Linked DNA regions of Struthio camelus. The protein of the gene in region 1 purifies or fractionates together with the protein of each later gene. This does not show direct contact. Links are inferred from orthologs where the notes say so. Each region holds a gene or a part of one and is shown on either strand. Other genes may lie near its edges.

Evidence for each region.
Region 2: the proteins of CEP43 (region 1) and centrosomal protein of 78 kDa purify together in Homo sapiens (affinity purification with mass spectrometry; 3 studies listed by BioGRID and IntAct, with this or other methods). This does not show direct contact. The link is inferred for Struthio camelus from reciprocal best matches to the Homo sapiens genes CEP43 and CEP78.

What each region holds. Positions count from the first base shown.
Region 1 is NC_090944.1:88,810,095-88,819,142, forward strand, and holds the start of CEP43 (centrosomal protein 43), read left to right. Parts: upstream 1-4,862; 5' UTR 4,863-5,517; coding exon 5,518-5,607; intron 5,608-9,048. UniProt on the Homo sapiens protein: Required for anchoring microtubules to the centrosomes. Required for ciliation.
Region 2 is NC_090982.1:29,120,970-29,130,041, forward strand, and holds the start of centrosomal protein of 78 kDa, read left to right. Parts: upstream 1-4,907; 5' UTR 4,908-5,078; intron 5,079-5,484; exon of another isoform or gene 5,485-5,685; intron 5,686-6,586; 5' UTR 6,587-6,610; coding exon 6,611-6,863; intron 6,864-7,078; coding exon 7,079-7,254; intron 7,255-7,882; coding exon 7,883-7,955; intron 7,956-8,560; coding exon 8,561-8,664; intron 8,665-9,072. UniProt on the Homo sapiens protein: Centriole wall protein that localizes to mature centrioles and regulates centriole and cilia biogenesis. Involved in centrosome duplication: required for efficient PLK4 centrosomal localization and PLK4-induced overduplication of centrioles.

The DNA.
Region 1 (9,048 bases):
CCATTTTTCCTGAAAATATCATTTTCCTCAAAAATTTCTGAACAAACGTAACTGTATCTGAGATTTTAAAACTCTGTTTATCTGCTGAAATGTGTTGCCTGAAGAAAATAAAACAAAAATGAAGTTGGCATGGTTCAATTTCTTTAAGGATTTTATTATCAAGCACTTCAATCTGAGATTTTAAAACTCTGTTTTTCTAGAAACCAGCAGTGTACATTTAGATTAGGATTTAAGAGTCCAGAATCTTTCTTATTTTGTTCCCCTAACACAATGATTTTTGTTTTGATTATTCCCATTGCACAAATAGAACTCACAAATCTAGCTAGATTTTATTCAGTTTTTGTGTGTTAATGACAATCATCTGCAAAACTCTGATCAGATTCTAGGATGTACATATATTACTGTGTCCTAACTTTCAGTCAATAGAATTGGTCAATGCATGTTTTTTGAAGGCCTGGATTGGATTTATATTGTGTAAAGAGCTTGTAGCAACGCTGCCATTGCATTTTTTTTTGAATGATGCAGTGTCAATTTTATAGCATCTTTGCAAAGCTATATTGGTTTTCCCATGAAAAATACATCTTCTTCTTACTCTGGTAGAATGTTCTTCACATTTACAGTTCTGCAGAAACAATAAAAATAATGTTGGTCTGTCTCTTGTGATGCAGTTAGATGATGTCAGTAAAGGTAGACTTGGGAATTAGATATATTTTAAATGATAACGTTTTCTTTAGAATGGGACACGAGGCAGTTTGAGACTGTTCATTGTCGGCTGGGTAGGAAATTGGACTATTAGCATGCTTCGCTGCCCTCTAGGTGATGAATATTTAGCTAAATAATTTTCTGGTATTTGGCAGTGCTCAAAAGGGGTATATGGAGATTGGATTTGAAATAGTCTAGATACACTGGAGAGCAGGAAGCCAGTGTTATTGCAATGAATTTTACAAACCACAATTCTTTTCGCTGATGAATCATCTTCTAAGTCTACTGAATCTGTCTTTTTGCTTTGCAATCCCTATCAAATATTTTGTCAAGTGGATTTTGTAAGGACAGTCAAACATAATGTCAATACCTATGTCATATTCATATTCTGAAAGCTGGTGTTTTCTGAAACATTTACTTGGAGAGAAAGATTTATATCTGACAAACGTATAGTACACAGCATAGACCTGAAGCCAGATTCCACACTACGGTTTGCCAGCTTAAACAAACAGTTTCTTGTAATTTGGGACAAGGTATATTTGTGGAAATAATTTGCCATAAAATATAAAAGTCTAAATTTAAAGTATTGTTTTTGAAATTGATAATCTAGAATAGTAATCACTATTAATCACTATCAATAGTAATCACTAACAGTGATTTGCCTATAAACCTCCATTTTTTGACATACTATCTAGCAATGTTCATTACTAAATAAATCGTATAATTGCATTTAATTGGAAAATAGCTCTTTATTTCTGCATCTGTGTGATAATAATATGTCTTCCTTTATTTTGCTATACGAGTTACTGGGACAAGCCCTTTATGGAAAACACCAATGAGCAATTATACCTGTGAAACACACATTTTCTCTTTACATATAATATATTGGGGCAATACAAGTACTTTAGTTCCATGACATTTGTTGGGCATGCAGTATCTATATGTGATGGTATCACAAGTGATTTCCAATAACATTTACACCATAAATGCTGCCGTTTTATGTATGTTCCTCACATCTCACAAAAACTATTTAATGAGTATTAGAAGAATGTTGTAAACCTTTATTTAATCTTATAATTTATGACCCTGCCTTTAAATACATGTCATTAAATTATTATAAGTCCCAGTGTGTGTTTCTAAGAGGAAAGTATACAAATCTGTAAAGAGGATTCTGGATAAAATTGGAGCTGGAAATCCAGAGAACAGTTGTAAATGGTATGCTCAGTGAACTAAAGAATGAAGGGAAAAAGGGGATAAGGTAGCAGTTGAAGGTATGAACGCATCTTTTTGAGATAGGAAAGACAGTCAGTTTTGGTTCTAAGGCAAAGAGGAGGAGACAATTAGAGTTTAAGAGGAAACAAGAAAACCTGAGAGCACATGAGGGAAATCAGAAGAGGAAGAATCATTGGGGCAAACAGAATAGGAGGAGACAGGGAAAGAAATGTCTCCATTTCCACTGAAGAGAAAAGGCTGAAGAAGAAAAAAGGAAGGTAAAACCTAGGAAAAAATATTTGATTTATTAAAAAGTGTTTTTAAAAGGAAAAAAGGAAGGGAAAGTCGGGGACTGTAAGCAAGCCTTCTTCCCTGCTCTTCAGCTTTCCCCTGTGAGTTTGAGGGCAGGGAAGGGGAAGAATTTTCATCAAGAAATTGCCAAATCAGTGGTGGAGGAAAAGGCAGTGGATGGTCTGAGTGACTGAGTCTGAAGAAATTGGGGAGTGTTGGAGATGTGATACGAAACACTACCCTCACACATCCATTCCTACCTGGCAGGGAAGATAGCCCTCCAGAGCATCAGGTTTTACTTTTGACTTGCTGGAACTGAAACAGGTGCTGTTGTGGCCCCATCTCCAGAAGCATGGTGGTACCAAAGGAGTCCCCACTCATACCACCCTCGCTGTGGTAACATGAGAGTGGATTCGGTTAAGGTACAGCAGAGTGATTTTGCTAGCTAGATATCAGAAATAAAGGCCAAGCAGTGAGACGTGTGGGGAAGCAGATTGATGTGCGATATGGAGAAAGCCCAAATGCTTGTATCAGAAAAAAGGGGTCAGTAAAGAAACATTGGAGACAGTATTTGTTGCTGAAGAACAAATTGAGAAAACATTCCTTTTGTGCCTGATCTAAACCACAGTTGATAAAACGAATAAATACTATCAGATAAACATATAGCTAAAAAGCTGGCTTGTCATCAAAGTAGCTGTAGTTCAAAGCTTTAGAGTTTTAAAAGATTAGGAGTACATTGTTCTTTAAGTTGATGAGAGTATATGTTTAATTTCATTTTACCCCACAGAAATCCCCAGTGCATATAGATGCATAGCTGTGTATACATGGTTAGCATTGCTAACATGGTTAGGATTGCTAACCATGTTATCCAGCCAAGTAAGTATTTTGCTAATTTTGATACCAACAACATAGTTACAATGTAGTTATACACTTTCCTATTGGTTCCTGTCCTTCCCTACTATTCACAGTTTCATATACCTTTAAACCGTTATCCTCATAATCATTTAGACCCGGACTGTCGCTCACACAAGCTGCAGAGCGGTAGGGTTTGGAGTGAAACCATGACACAGTAGTGTGGGAGGGAGAATAATCTCTGTGGGGTTCTAGTAACAACTTTCCAAAACTGCTGGAGGCATGCAAGTAAATTAACAGACCTTTGGGCCCAGTCCCTGCTGTGCCTGTCAGCTTGGAAGGGAAAGTAGTGTCTATCAACTGTAGAACCGGCACAGAATACATTCCCTCTGGATCACTGACAAAAATAGACCATTTGTGATTACTACAACAGGACCCCAATCTACTCCTATAGAGGTGCTTTTATAAGCTGGTCCATTTCAAAGCTTTTATGGCTGGTAGAAGAACATCACCCTTATTTTGCTGGTTATTTTCCAATCCCTATTCTTCCCTTCCCCTCCCTAGCCTAAAACTCATTTACCAGCTTAGACACTTAATTGTAGTGCCGATCCCTTCAATTGCTTAATATTCCCTCTATCAAGCTAGGCGTCAAGTTTCGGTGAACCAAAACCACCGTCATCATGTCTTTTGGCAGACATACGAGTAAAGCCTTATACCCTGAGACAGCGTGGCTCTTTTGATCATAGTAACATTATAGGGCTTATATGATTATTGGAAATAACAGTTTAACTTTTAACCTATAAGCCTTGTTTTAATTGAACTTGATCACGAAAACTGAAACCTAGTTATTTACCATCTTGTTTCAAGCTTAACATTGAAGTTTATAGTCTATTTTGACTCCTAAATCAATAATGATATATTCTTACTGGTGAGTTAGATATTTCTCAAACCATACAAAGAGAGTGAAAGGTTGCCAATGTTTCCAAGATTGGGAATTTTAAAATGTAATGCTATATTCTTTGTGCAGCAACAGAAATGGGCTCAAACATCCAGCATGCCTCTAGAGGATGTAATAAAAACGGGACAGTACCAGTGACACCTGACTTACCAGGCTTGACTCATATTTAAGACCTCACCGATGAATTAGTGCCACCTACTGCATGCTTTTGAAAGTAGCATCAACCGCCAACAATACCCTTACTATATTCCTCTACGAGGAACGCTTGCATGCTTTGAATATTGCAGAACCACAGAATGGCCAAGGTTGGAAGGGACCTCTGGAGATCATCTAGTCCAACCCCCCCCTGCTCAAGCAGGGTCCTCTAGAGCACGTTGCACAGGATCGCGTCCAGGTGCGTTTTGAATATCTCCAGGGAAGGAGACGCCACAATATTCATGAATTACGAATTTTCTCGCTATATAATTGAATGCTCTTCAAGAAAAATCGTAGAAAGTTCAGAAGATAAGGTTCAGTATGAAAAAAAAAAAAAGCAAAAGATTTTCCCGGGGGCAACGTACAGTGCTGCAAATTAAGCACTGCATCCTAGAAAGCGTTGTATCATTTTTAAGAAATGATAGCGTTGGAGCCTCTTGTTCCTAAGACGCTGCCTGGCGCTTTTAACATAACATAGAGGTTATAAAATAAACACTGTTGACATATTTTAAATACTTTTCGGTCTCTGCTTTGCTTGTGCTGAATGGAGGGGATACGTCTACTTTCCGAGATCTCTCTCAGCCCAGAGAAAATTGCTCCTTCCCCCACCCCTCCCAGAGGACGGGAACAGCGTTTTCCTCTCTGCTGAAACACCTGAGAAGGGGCAGGAGAGGGGTTCTTCGCTCCTTAAAGCGGTTTCAGGTTCTTCGTCGTCGTCCCCCAACCCCTTTCTTTCGGCGCTGGAAAGAGCCGAGTGCGAGAGAAGACCGGCCCTAGGTGACCTCGCTTCCCCACACCCCCTCCCCGCGGCCGTTACAGCCCGCGCGGCCGTTGGGCGCGAGCGCGGCCCGGCGCGAGTCCCGCGCACGCTGCCAAGGTCTGCCCGGCCAGGGGAAAGCACCAAGCTGGAAAGGGGCCCAGGGAATGGTTACAGGGACCCAGCAAGTAGCGCGGCCACCAGCTCTGCCGCCGCGGTGACGTTGAAGACGAACAAAGGCGTAGCTCGGCCGTTAGCGCCCATCACCCGCTTTAAACCTCCCGCCCGCCAATCGCGGCGCCGGCAGTCGCGCTGCTGATTCGCCGCTACACTTTCCAGGCGCCGCGGTTTGGGGGGGGGGAGGGGGTGTTGGGTGGTCGCGGCCTCGTTGTGTCCCCTTTCGGGCCGCTACTGAGGACGGCCACCGGCCGGCTGCGCCCCGTTTCCTCGGGTCCGCTGCTGGGTTAGTGCCTCCCTCGGCCGCGGAGGCGAATCTGCCGGGCTCGTCCTACCGCTAGCGCAGTTTGGGCGGTTGTCAGGGAGAAACAAGATGGCGGCCGCAGCGGCGGAGGAGGACACAGAGCTGCGGGACCTGCTGGTGCAGACGCTGGAGAGCAGCGGGGTGCTCAATAAAATTAAGGTGGGGGAAGGAGAGCCTCGCGTTGGCGCGCGCACCTCGCGAAGCGCAGAGCGGGGAAGAGCCCTGGCTGGCGCCAGCGGCAGTTAACGACCGCGCACGGGGGGAGGGGCCGGGCCGGGGCTCCGTCCCCTCTCCCTGGCGCGTCTTAGCCGGTGTTCCCGGCCGGGCCCTGTGCCGGCGCCGTGGCCTGGCGGGGGCGTCTGCCGCTCCCCGGCTGCTCTGCCTAGGGCTCGGCGAGGAGCCGGGTCCAGCGCCTGTCTTGCGAAGTGGAGCTGGTACGTGCTCGCCGCGGGCCCGGGCGGGAGGCCTGACCGCGGCTTGACGTCTGCCTGGCGGCCGCAGCGTTAACGAAAGCGCCGAGGTGGGGAGAGGGAGGGCAGCCCGCGGCCGCCGCAGGGATCCCGGCGTCTTGAGTGGGCGCTTTCGGGCCCGCAGACACGCTGTGGTCGCAAGAGCTCTATTGTTGCTTCTCTCCTGCTGCTGCTAAAGCCGCTGCAAACGTTCAGCGGCCGGGTCGTGTTGGATGGTGTGGACAAGGTTTCTCTCTGATTCGACCGAAAAATCGCCATTGAAAATTTAAAGCAGGAATCGTTGAGGGTTGCTGCTTATACACGGCATCTTTTGAGTTCGGGTGAGCTTAAGCTGCGTCTTGAAGGCCTAATAAACAAGGGAAGTGCCGAGGGATGCTGCTAGCTGCACGGCACAAATACTGCTATGTTAAGAAGTTATGCGGAGGACAGTGTTTAGTGGGGTGTAAGGTTTTCTCCATTGTAATTGCTTCCATGTCTGTAATGTAGCCTGGGCTGACATCCTGTCAGCAAGGATATGAAAACTGGTTCTAAGGGTTCTTCTTCAAGTTAGAAGCTTCCAGCAATAACTATTGTGCATAGCAAAGAGCCATACAGTTATCACAGCATATGAGCTGTTGGACCATCTTCTAAGCCAGGAGAGAAATGAAGTTTGAGTTTCAAATCACAGATGGTGATATTTTTTCCCTGCAAAGTACTACAAGTATTTCCAGAGGTAGATGATCACTGACACTTCAGGATCAGTTTAATGACTGAAACAATTGATGGAATTAAGAGTATCTGTGTGTGTATACAAAGAAAATAAAAAGTCACTTCCTTTAAAGTCCATTGGATATTTGGCTTCCAATGGATTCCATAGTGTTCAATAACACGGTGTTACTGAAATTGTTGCTCCTGCAGTTTTGGAAGAGTAGTCCTTATTTAAATTTCATAAGTAGATGAAGATCCCAGTTCATGTAACTATGTTTTGAGTAGGGAAAGCTTTTTCTAGATAAGTATCAAATAGGCCTTTTGGACCACCCATTAACCTCTTGTGTCATATTAACTAAAAAAAATAGTGAAAATAATAGCAACAATTAAAAAAAACCACAAGTCCGTTAGGTCGTTTGGAGTATATAAACTGTAGTTTCTTAATTCCAGTCTTTGTGTAGTATACAAGTTATTGTACTGCACTTGCCAGTTTGCTGAGTTTCATGTAAATATGTTTATTGTAATCTTCGCTATGCTATAATGCTAAAGTTGTAGTATCCAGTATGGCTCAATTTATCCTTAACGCAAAATAGCAAACAACTTAGAAAAATGCAGACTGCATCCTATTTACCAGTATATTGCTCTTCTTAATACTGGGAGTTATTGCCTTGTAAGTGGTATGCTTATGGCTAAGGCCATGCATTCTGCAAATTAATAGGATTTCTTCTTAGTTGTAAATCTTAACTGCCACACTAGTTTGGCTATCTGTTGATTGTTAGTATGAGTAACTCATGGAATTTGTTTTGTTTGGCACTTGAAAATAGTCCTTTGTCTTCCAGAAGAGTCCAGAGTAAACTGGTCTCCTTAAAAGGTTGGCTTCTAATTTAAATTAGATTATACCATGCATAAAAAATGGACATCGTGCTTTCATTAAATTAAACATATTTGTGCTCAGTACTGTTTCCTTAACTATTGCAAATGTGTCAGTATATTTTATTATGTGGGAGAACTGTGAGAAAATGAACAATTGCTTTGCTACTATGTAAATTGTATACACCAAAATGAGCACTGCTCATCTTCCAAGATGGGTGAGGCTAGAAAGTAAATTATAGCGATGTGTCTGAGACTTGTTAGAATAGACACATTAGAAAACAAATTATATTGCTGAAAGTATGGCTTCATTGGTGTGAAGAAAACTCTGGTAAAACAAGTAAAGAAAGCTCTGGAAGGATTAGAATTAGAATGTACAAGGCTGTCAAAATTTACATATGGGAACATATAACAATTACTTTATCAGTCATTATAAAAGAAGAGAACTTTGGTGACACCTTTGTCCTTCAGTATACAACATGATTGTACAATGGGTTACAGTTTTAGGTTTTTTTTTTTGAGGTTAATTTCTTGGGCATATTGGTTTTGATGTAAATTGTTTAGCTGGAAAATAGTAATAATAAAAAATCTTAGTTACCTTGTAGACAAGTCCCAAACAGATTTTTAAACTGTCATACTTACCTTGGGCTTTGAGCACAGGAGAGTTTAATAAAGTAATACATTTACACAACTTCCAGTTTTCACAATGTTTGCCGCGTCTAGTTGAAACATTTCCTATTTTTAGAGTGCAGATCAGACTGCTTCCTTTTGAATATCATAAGAATGCTCATCTAAAATATAATTCTATATATTTGTACTTCATTGAAAACTTTTACTGATACTGCACGTGTGATGCATTCCGTACAATTACAGAAGACGTTCTCTCTTGAAGAGCATGTGAGCCTTCTCTGGCCTAGGGAAGCTGTCATCATCTGAACAAGAAGAGTGATTCTTCTTATTGTCTTCCTTTGTCGTCTTATTTTGTGTTTTGCTTTGTATCTTTTAATCTCTTTTCTCCTGGAAAAATAAGTTTATGCTACCTTAGTTTTATGGCATCGCTGGAACTTGCTGTTACTACAAATACGGGGGAAATCAAACATTACAAAAATTGTATGACTGATAATGCTTCTGGCCAGATGATACTGTTCTTGCTAATTTGATTCAAAATCTAAAAAGTTGAGGTACTTGCAAAAAACGTGTTGAGGGTAAGAGACAAGAGTTAAAATGAAATATTGTTTGTTTAAAATCATCTATTAACTGTATTTTTGTAGGTAAATTAAAATTGTTAGATTTATTTTCTCATGTCCCTTCCATGTATTATAATGCATAATGCTTTTAAATGTCTTTGAATTATTAACCATCATGATCAGTATACTGTATACTACAGTGTAATCTCTTGCGGTTTTGCAGCTGGTTTTTTAAAAGCAGTTTGTTTCCGAAAGCCAACTCATTTATTGGAATCAAGGGGGAAATTTAAATTTATACTTAACACTTCTTTCTATAATTTCTTATTTTTATAAATAACAACTTATATTGATTTCCGTTTAACGGAAATTCAACATTTAAATGTGAG
Region 2 (9,072 bases), on another chromosome or scaffold:
CTCAAAACTTCTAAACCAAAGAATATTCACCCTTAGGCTCTCAGCATATATTTTTTCTCCCTAGTTCCTAAGTATGTTACACTTCCATCTTGGCCAGCTTTCTCTTTTCGTTTTCCTCCAAGTCATCCAAAGCATATCTCATTACCCCTGTTTCCATTTCCAGCTCCAATTTCGTATTTCAAGAGTTTTTTTGTGCAATTAGCTATTATCAGAACCACTTTTTAATTTATACCAACTTTCTTATCTCTTTGGATCTTGCAGTGTACCCTACTGTGAAAATTTACAAACCATGACTCATTTTTAAACTTAATTTGCCTTTGGACTGCCCTGTGTTAGACACTGAGATTTTGCAGTGTGTTTTACCTGTTCTGTGTGTGTTAAAGTGCCACATCCTGTTATGGTATAATGGAAATAAGAAATAATACTGTGCACCTGTGCAACTTCCAAGAAAAACATGATAAAACCATCTAATGATGACACAATGAAATAATTATTTCCTCCTTGCTTTAAGCAAAGGTTTGCTGGCTGTACCGCTGCATCTTTGCTTCAGAAACATTGCCACCTAGCAACAAAGTATCTTCTCAGGCTTCTGGATAAAATCTATAAAGAACTGCCCTAGCAGCAGCTCTTAGATCATTTTCAAATAATTTTGGAAATTTTGTTTTTGTCCTTTCGCCACTTAGCATTCAATGCCAGCTGGCTTTCTGCAGAACAGGGGAAAAACTGCTAACTATTTAGTTTTGGAAGCAGACTTAAAAAGGCAAAATACAGAAGTTTAAAAAAAAAAAAAAGGCAAACTGCCAAATTGTTCCTTCAAGGCATAGTATGCAGTGAGGGATAATGCTGAAGAACATCAGCCAAGTAGGATACCTTCCAGAGATATTGTCCTCATGAAGCCAAGAGAAAAGAGTTGCTGCCCACCCATGGACAAAGTAAAATGCAGAGACCCATTTTTTTTTCTCCATGCTGTCTCTAAAAAAGCTAATGCTGGATATGGTGTGAGACTGACAAATGCCTGTAGGGTTAAATCAAATAAAAAAATTGGAATTAGTATACATTTTTTTAAAGAAACGTTTGAGCATGTGGCCTAGAAAGATATTGGAAAGCAACAGAGAGAGCAAGAATTAGTTCAACAAATTCAGCAAGTGGATGACTGGTGAAGAAGCCATCATTTGCCAAAGTGACAGAGAGAATTAGGTCTCTTTGGGAACTGTTTTCTTAGAGCAGAGACATCTGGTAGCTCACCGAATCATTTCTTATTTTTGAAGACAAAAAAAAAAAAAAAAGAACATCAGTGGGAACTGTATCTAACTGGAAAAGCAAGTAATGGTGATAATCACAATTATAAAATATAGGACATCTTACACAGAAATAAGAAATCTAGCCAAAGAGAAAATGCAAAGCACTGCAGTAAAAATTCCAAGCCTTAATGCTCTAATGAAACAAAATTAACTAAATAGCTTTCGCAACGAGGTCAGAATGTTGTCGGAAGTGCTACGCTGGCAATTACAGAGCACGAATAAAGGAAATACAGCAAAATGGCCTAATCCATGCACTAATTACCCTAAAATACATGTTTTTACAAGCCTATATTACAGGCTTTAAAATGTTTAAATATTACTTAACCGTATGAATAGTTATAAGAATAAAAAAAAAGAGTCCTTATGGCTCGGTGAATTGGGCTCCTACATACCCAAACAAGGAGATGCAAGAAATACAGGAAAACTTTTAAAAAATCCATTGTATTAGAGATTACTATTACTTCTGGACAGTAAATGAAAACCATCAGTTTCTTGTCAATCACAGACAGAGTATGCAAAAATTCATCTAGTATCTTGAATCAGCATTTTTCAGGCTCAAATGTGGCAAACTTTAATGCTCTAATACATTTGTTTACTTTCTCTCTTCTATTTGTTCTTTCTACATTTACTGCATGAGATAAGCATAACTATGCAGAACTCTCTGATCGCAAAAGACTCTGGAATATTTTTGAATGACAGGAAGATAATATGGTTAGTTTTATTGTTTGCAAGCCGAGAGATATTGCAGAACACCCAGCCCACATATTACTGTGGTTCAGATTGAAGTGGTCAAGGCTTGCCCAGGACTTCTTTTTCTGGGCATCTAGAAGTGTTCTTGAATGACAATATTTTTATTAAATATTTTACTAAATTATCAGCGGCCCAAGCCATTATGCTCTTCCCAGAGCATACAGTAGGCCATAAGATTACTTCAGCTTGTAAGGCTGTGAAAAACCCATAGATGAAAGATTGGGATCCAGAATGAGACGTCAGCTGTAGATTCATCATTACACACATTGCTACTGTCTAGTGGTTAAAACCTGCATTTAGAATTCACATTAGATTCACATACACAGGAGTACTTTTGATAATTTTTCAGCCTCCAGCCCTTCTGGCAGATCTGTGCCATGTGTACCAAAAATGGAATTTTCAAAAAAGATGTAAAAAAACTTAAAATTTAGATGCACAAGTAGAATGCAAAGCAAAAATGAATGAATCAAATGCTGAGAAAAAAGTAACTTTCACTCAGCACTAATTTGAAAGAAAAAGAGTTTGGTAGGGAGAAACTTGGAACAGGTTCTTTGCAATATTATGAATTTTAGCTTGCAGATGTCTCTATTTACTGACAAGATGAATCCCCTTTTGGTTATAGCTTTACAATGATATATGCAGCCTGCAGTTTTAGAGATCTAGTGTGATTGTTCTAAGGCTACATCCAATGAAGAACGCGGAGAATAATTTTGACATGCTGCAAAATAAGAAGAGCTATATTAACAGTCTAATCATTCTTGAGCTTGCTTTCATTTCAGGCTTTTTCTTGGTGCACAACACATGACTAATCAATAGCATACAGAAAGGAGCTCTTTTTGCTCCATTTACATGGCAATGGTAGTGTGGCTGTGATTCAAAATTCATCTTGAAATGCTAGTCTTTACAGTTGACAGGAAATTGACAACAAAACGCATGGCTGGAGAGTCTCCAGAATATAATGTCTGTCTCTCTAGGAATCTTCAGAGATGCTTTCTATTTTTAACAGCTTAAAATGCATAGAATTCTGAGTTATTATTTCTGAAATATCAGAGCAAGTATTTAATTTCCCGAATATAATGGGGAAATGCCTAAAAATTTCACTCATAAGTGATTTTAAAAGATGTGGCTATCAGTTCACACCTTTGATTTGTAGATGTAAGAATTTAACTGCCACCCTATACAAGCGCAAAATTCTGACTAAGTGAAAAGACTGTCAAGAGAAACGAGATGAATGAAGGAATTTAAAGAAATACAAAAGTGATTAAGGGCATATTAATCAAAGAGAAAAATTAAAATGCTATGTGGACTAGCAGTGAAGATGTATCACAGCTCTGCTTGTTAAAAAGTGATTTAACTGAATAGTGCAAACATCAAATCTTGTAAGTAAGTAAAGTTGCTTGAGAGGATTTACGTTTGATTTTGCTTGAATTTAGCCCATGGCATCCAGTGGTATGACATGCAGTGGAGATACTTTTGTCACACAGTCTCTAGTCAAGAAATCAACAACTGCTGTTGACACTTGGTTGATTATTGCCCTGTGCATTGTGTATCTTTTCTGTTTGGTTTGCAAAACGTCACAGTGAAACAATTTGCTGTATAGCTGGTGGCCTCAGACCTACTGAAATAATTCTTGTTCTGGCACACCTGATCATAGCACTTAGGCTGCTTCAGTTACTTCTGGTGGCAGTCGAAGATTATGAAGCATGTGTGATTCTGCTGTTATTAAGCTATGTTAATATGAAGATTATTTGACACACAGTGAACATACAGTATTCTACCCAAGTTCGAGGGTCCTTAACCTGTTTAATTACTGTGTACTCAGCTTTAGAGTTTAACTCTCCTGTTTATAAGCAGACTAAAAGCATAACTTGTTAAATAAGCCAATTGCTCTTACTCATCAATTTATAGTAATCATTTTCATGAGTAGTTGGCATTCCTATGCATGAATGAATTGCAAACTCTAGGATCAATGCACAGGCTATGTCTGCGTCACTTTGCCTTAAAGGGCGCACCTGATAACACACCGCTGAATGTTAATGAGAACCCTGAAACCTGAAGTCAGATCTATCTGAGCTAGCAAACGAATGAGGAAGGTAAGCTGCGGAGGAGGAGGAGGAGGAGGAGGAGGAGGAAGAGGAGGAGGAGGAGGAGGAATCTGTGTGCTCTCAGCCAGCTGGGACCAGCTGACTGCAGCTACTGCTGTGAATCAAAGTGCGGCAGCACTTACGGAGCTAGTCATCTGTGCAGCGTGGTCTTTAGATGCTGAAGTGATGCACAGCGCGCTTAAAGATGTATTAAAAGACAGCATTATGTAAATGTGCTTTCTCATTGCCCTGCAATAAGCCTCTTTAGGAAAGAGAAACAGTAGTTTCTGTTTGGCTGCGAAATTTCTCTCTAAAACCTCTGCCAGATGCCCCTTGTCCAGCTTCCTGCGGTGGTCTAAAAACACGTTATGTCCACGCGGAGAGGGGAGGAAAGAAATATGACTAAAAGAGCTAAACCTGTCCTGTACGCTCGTCAGGTGCCAGCGTGCCCGGGGTGCAAGGCAGAAGGCCACCCCAAGGGCTGGGGGCTGCAAGGCCTGGGGACGAGCCGGTCCCGGGGGGGCCAGCTCGTCGCTGTGGCTGAAGCGGAGCAGGCCAGGAGAGCCGCGGCAGCGGCCCCGAGGCGAGGCGAGGCGAGGCGGCAGCAGCCCGCCGACCCGCCTCCACCCCCGCAGCTAAGGGAGCGGGCCGGGCCGGGCGCAGGGGAGGCCGCGCCCCCGCGCGCCGTAACGGTTGCAGCGCAGGGGGGAGGGAAGCGCTTCGGCGGGGCGGGGCGAGGCGGCCGTTGGGCGCGGCCATTTTGAACGTACGAAGGCGGGCGGCTGGCCGGGGGAGATGGCCCGCTTGCTCTGGGGTGGCAGCCAATAGCAGCGCCAGCCCCCAGCGCCACGTGGGCGGCGACGGTTGGGATCCCAGGGAAACCGCCTCACGCGGAGCAGCGCTTCAGCGCCCGGCGGCGGAGGAGGAGAAGGTGGTGGTGGTGGTGGAGGCTCCCTCGAGGCTCGCCGGCGGGCTCGGGCGGAGGCGCGCTTCAGGGGCTGGCGGGCTGCGGTTGGGGCGCGGTGGCCAGCGGAGGAGCCAGGGAGAAGGGTGACTCCTGAGCGATCGGGGCTGTGCTGGACGCGGCCGCGATGGGGGGCTGGCGGCCCGGCGAGGCGGGAGCGCGCGCAGGGGGTGTACTGGGGAGGAGGGGAAGGGACAATCTCCCCCCCCACCCCGTCTCTTCTCTTGCAGCTCCGTGCTTGGCAGCGAGCAACGCGGTCCCCAGCGCATGCTGGTTTGATAGTGTGCTTTGTTAGGGAAGCAGAGCACTGAAGTAGTTGGCTGGGTTGGCTCTGAGTGGGTGCGGCGATATAAAATACTATATTTTTCCAAGTATAAAGAGAGTTGTTTATTTGCATGTGTTTAGTGGATACTGCTTATGCTTGTATGTAGTGCTTGTACAGGTCAAATAAAAAGTATGTTTCACCCCTGCAGGTCAGGAGGTGTTTGAGGAAGTGTGTAAGCAGAGGGGAAACGTGTAATAGTGCTTCACGGAATATGTCCCTGTCTTGCAGCTCAGGCTTTAGGGTAGAGTCGTTGTCTCTGTGGTCAGTAGTCTTGTATGGATTTTTTTTCCTAACCTATTGCCTACCTGTTTTTTTGGGGGGAGGGGAGGGGGAATCCCTATGAACTCCTAGCTTTCTGAAAACTAGCATGCAGTTGAGTTTCCCAGTTTTGCCATGTGCTCTGTTTCTCCTCAGTCTGCTACCTGCTAGTTTCATCTGATGCTCCTTTGCCTCTGTATTGAAAGAGATAGCAGATAAAGTTCTTCCCTGAATGTTCTCTAAGCCAGTCGCGATTTTGTACGATTTTGTCATTCCCACTAACTTCCATGCTGAAGAGCCTTAATTTATGTAGTTATTTCTGAGATGGAAGTTATTATGTGTCTCTGAGTTTGTCCCCTCTTCTTTTCTACCCTCAAGTGTGCTAAACTTGAATGCTAGGGCCAGGCATAAAGTATGCAAAAGCAATAAGGGAAACACTTGTTTTATTTTATATTACGAGAATTCAGACTTTTGATTGCAGCAGTGGAAAAGCTGACAAGTAGTTCTGAAGATGTAAATGGTGTTTCGAAGAGACCTTAATATTCCTTGGTGCTGGGTCAGGGAGTGGGCTTTTAAGTAGCCTGCAGACACTATACGTTAAAAAATTAAATTTTAAGAGGAAAGTCTTTACACTAGTTAGTCCTGGAACATTGGACATGTTCCCCCATACTCTTGGAGGTGTACTTTTGTTGAGGAGAACAAAAATGTAGCGTTTCTTTTTCTTACCCATTCAGCTGTACTTCCACGTTCAACCTCAGCATTACTTGCCGTGTTGGAGACACTGAGTTGCACGGCTATACTCGTGCATTCTCATGTTTTGAGTATGCGTGTTGAATTGAGATTATGTCACTAAATCAGTTGCATATGGGAAAAATTTGATATATTTTTTCCTCCCTCATTTTAGAGAGGCTTTTATCACCTGTGAGAAATGATTGACTCGGTCAAAGTAAGAAGACAGTGCCTGCTGGATTTCTACTCTCATTATGAGCATCTGTGTGCTGTTCAAGGCTCTGTCCCACTGAAAGCTGTGAAAGCCAATCTGAACCAGGGTGCTCTCGATCTAACTGTAGATCGCATCAAAGCTGCTGACTGGGCACCGCTTCTAAATGCTGTCAGGCATAATAAGACGCTGACTTCTATTGCAGTAAGAAGTTTTCATCAGCAGGGTCTCGGAGAATCAGGTTTGTATTGATGGCTCTAGATGATAATTATGTTGATGTACGTTAAAGCTCTTTGTATAAATCTTGTGAGTGATTGAATGCATGAAGGGGGAGAGTTGTAATAGCTAAGGAATTCTTTCTGTTTAAGAACAGCGGCAAAAAAGAGGTATGTTTTTGATAGCTGTCAAGTCAATATGGACTGGATGTTACTGCTCTTCATTTCTGTTGTTTACTAGGTGTTGAAAGGTATAGAACTTACTTCAGAAGGAGAATTCCTGCAATTCGATCAAAAGACTTGACTGGTCAACTATGCAAAGCTGTCAAAGGCTGTCTGAGTATATCAGATGTACTAAAAAACTTGGAACTGCAGGGGTTGCTTCTGAGAGAGAGAGATCTAATACTTTTAACAAAGGTGAGAATGCGCTGGTATACAATTATTAAACGAAACCTAGGATTAGAACCTAGGGAAGTAGGAAATCATTTTATGTGTAGTTGTCACAGCTGGGGATGTGCCTGTTTTGAAATACATCTTTGTGTTCTTCTGTGTGAGAACCATTCTGCTGAGACACTTGGTATAACCTAGTGTTTAACCAAAATCATGTAACTTTCTCTTGCCCTAATTTGTCAAGGAGCAGAACCCTTATGGGAGGGTTCTTTCAGCATCCCTACTGCATGTCTGAGGTGTAGAACTTATGCCTGTGACTGACCCTGCTGTGCACGGTCATGACAGAAGAAAAGCTGCCGAGCTCCAGTAAGACAGCGTGCTTTGGAGAGCTGCTTCCGTTGGAGCTACTGCAGTGTGCTCATTAGTGGCTTCTAGGAAGCGAGGTGGCTGCTTGTTTCTTGCAGGCTCAGGCCCCTCCTGTGCTAAACAAAGCAGCTTCCTCACAGCTTTAGGCCCTTCTGCATCTGTCCAGGAGCATTAAGTGTTTGTGCTGAGCAATTTGGATGTCTTGATCTTTTCTCTATTTGTACGTTGTTGTTGCTTTTCAAGCCATTTTAAAAACATAAATATATATATATTTTTTATTATTTTACAGGGGTTGGCCAAAACTTCATCTCTGGAGAGCGTCTCCCTAGCCCACTGTCCAATTGGAGATGGAGGGTTAGAAAGTAAGTTAGTTTCAAAATAAAAGAAAAATAACTGGTCTTGTGAGGTGACTGGTAAAGGCATAAACATACTTCTGCCCTCCTTTTTAAAGCTTTCAATAGGTAAAACTAAGCTTTTCAGTATTTACATTCTCGTTTTAAATTTATTCACGCTGATTAAAAATAACCATCTTTATTTTATTTTACATGGCTTTACAGTATTTAAAAACTTGAATGTTTACCTGATGCTAGAAAACAGACTTACTAGTTAACGTTGATTAGACTTTTATTTAAAACAAAGTAATCTTTTTAAGTTTGAAATGAGTTTTTTCTTGATTTGCTCATGTTTACACAAGTAAAATAAAACAAAACATGTTCTACCTTGTTCAAACAGTCTTTGCTAAATACTTACTCCAGAAATATTTAATCTTTTGAAATTACAGAGGTTAAATGTATTAAGTTTATTTTAAATGTATAAGTTTATTTTGTTTTTCAACACTAGTTCTGTGTCAAAGGGTTTACCTATTAAAGCTAACTCAGCTTCTTAATGCAGCGGTGAGAAAATGTGTTTGTTCTGATGGTCTGGCTGTTTTGTGCCTGTACATAACAAATACTTTTGTTGTCTTTAGTAATCTGTCAGAGTGTGAAGAATTCTGCTAGTATCAGATGCATAAATTTCACAGGATGTAGCCTTACCTGGCGAGGGGCAGAACATATGGCAAATGTTTTAAAGGTAATTTAACCAGAAATGTTAACAAGAAGTTAAATAACTAAAAACATGATTGCTAGGTTTGGCTTGTAAACAAATACAGCTTTTCTGTAATAACAAAAGCAATACTTTACCCTATACTGTTTTTGATGTGACATCTCTTAAGGGAAAGGACAGGCTCTGACATAGCTACAGTAACCGTCTCCTTGCCGCTTCTCCGCTTCCCCTGAATTTCTGAAATGCCTCAATGTTCCTGGATTCCAGAAAATTATATTTTCATTGTGAGAATCCTCTTTAACATGAATGTTAAATGCTGAGCTGATTTTAATATAATATTTTTCATAAGGCTCAAAGTGAACATTCAGTTAAGACTATTAAGACTATATTGTTTGATATTGCAGCAGATTCAAGTATCAACCTGTATTAGATATG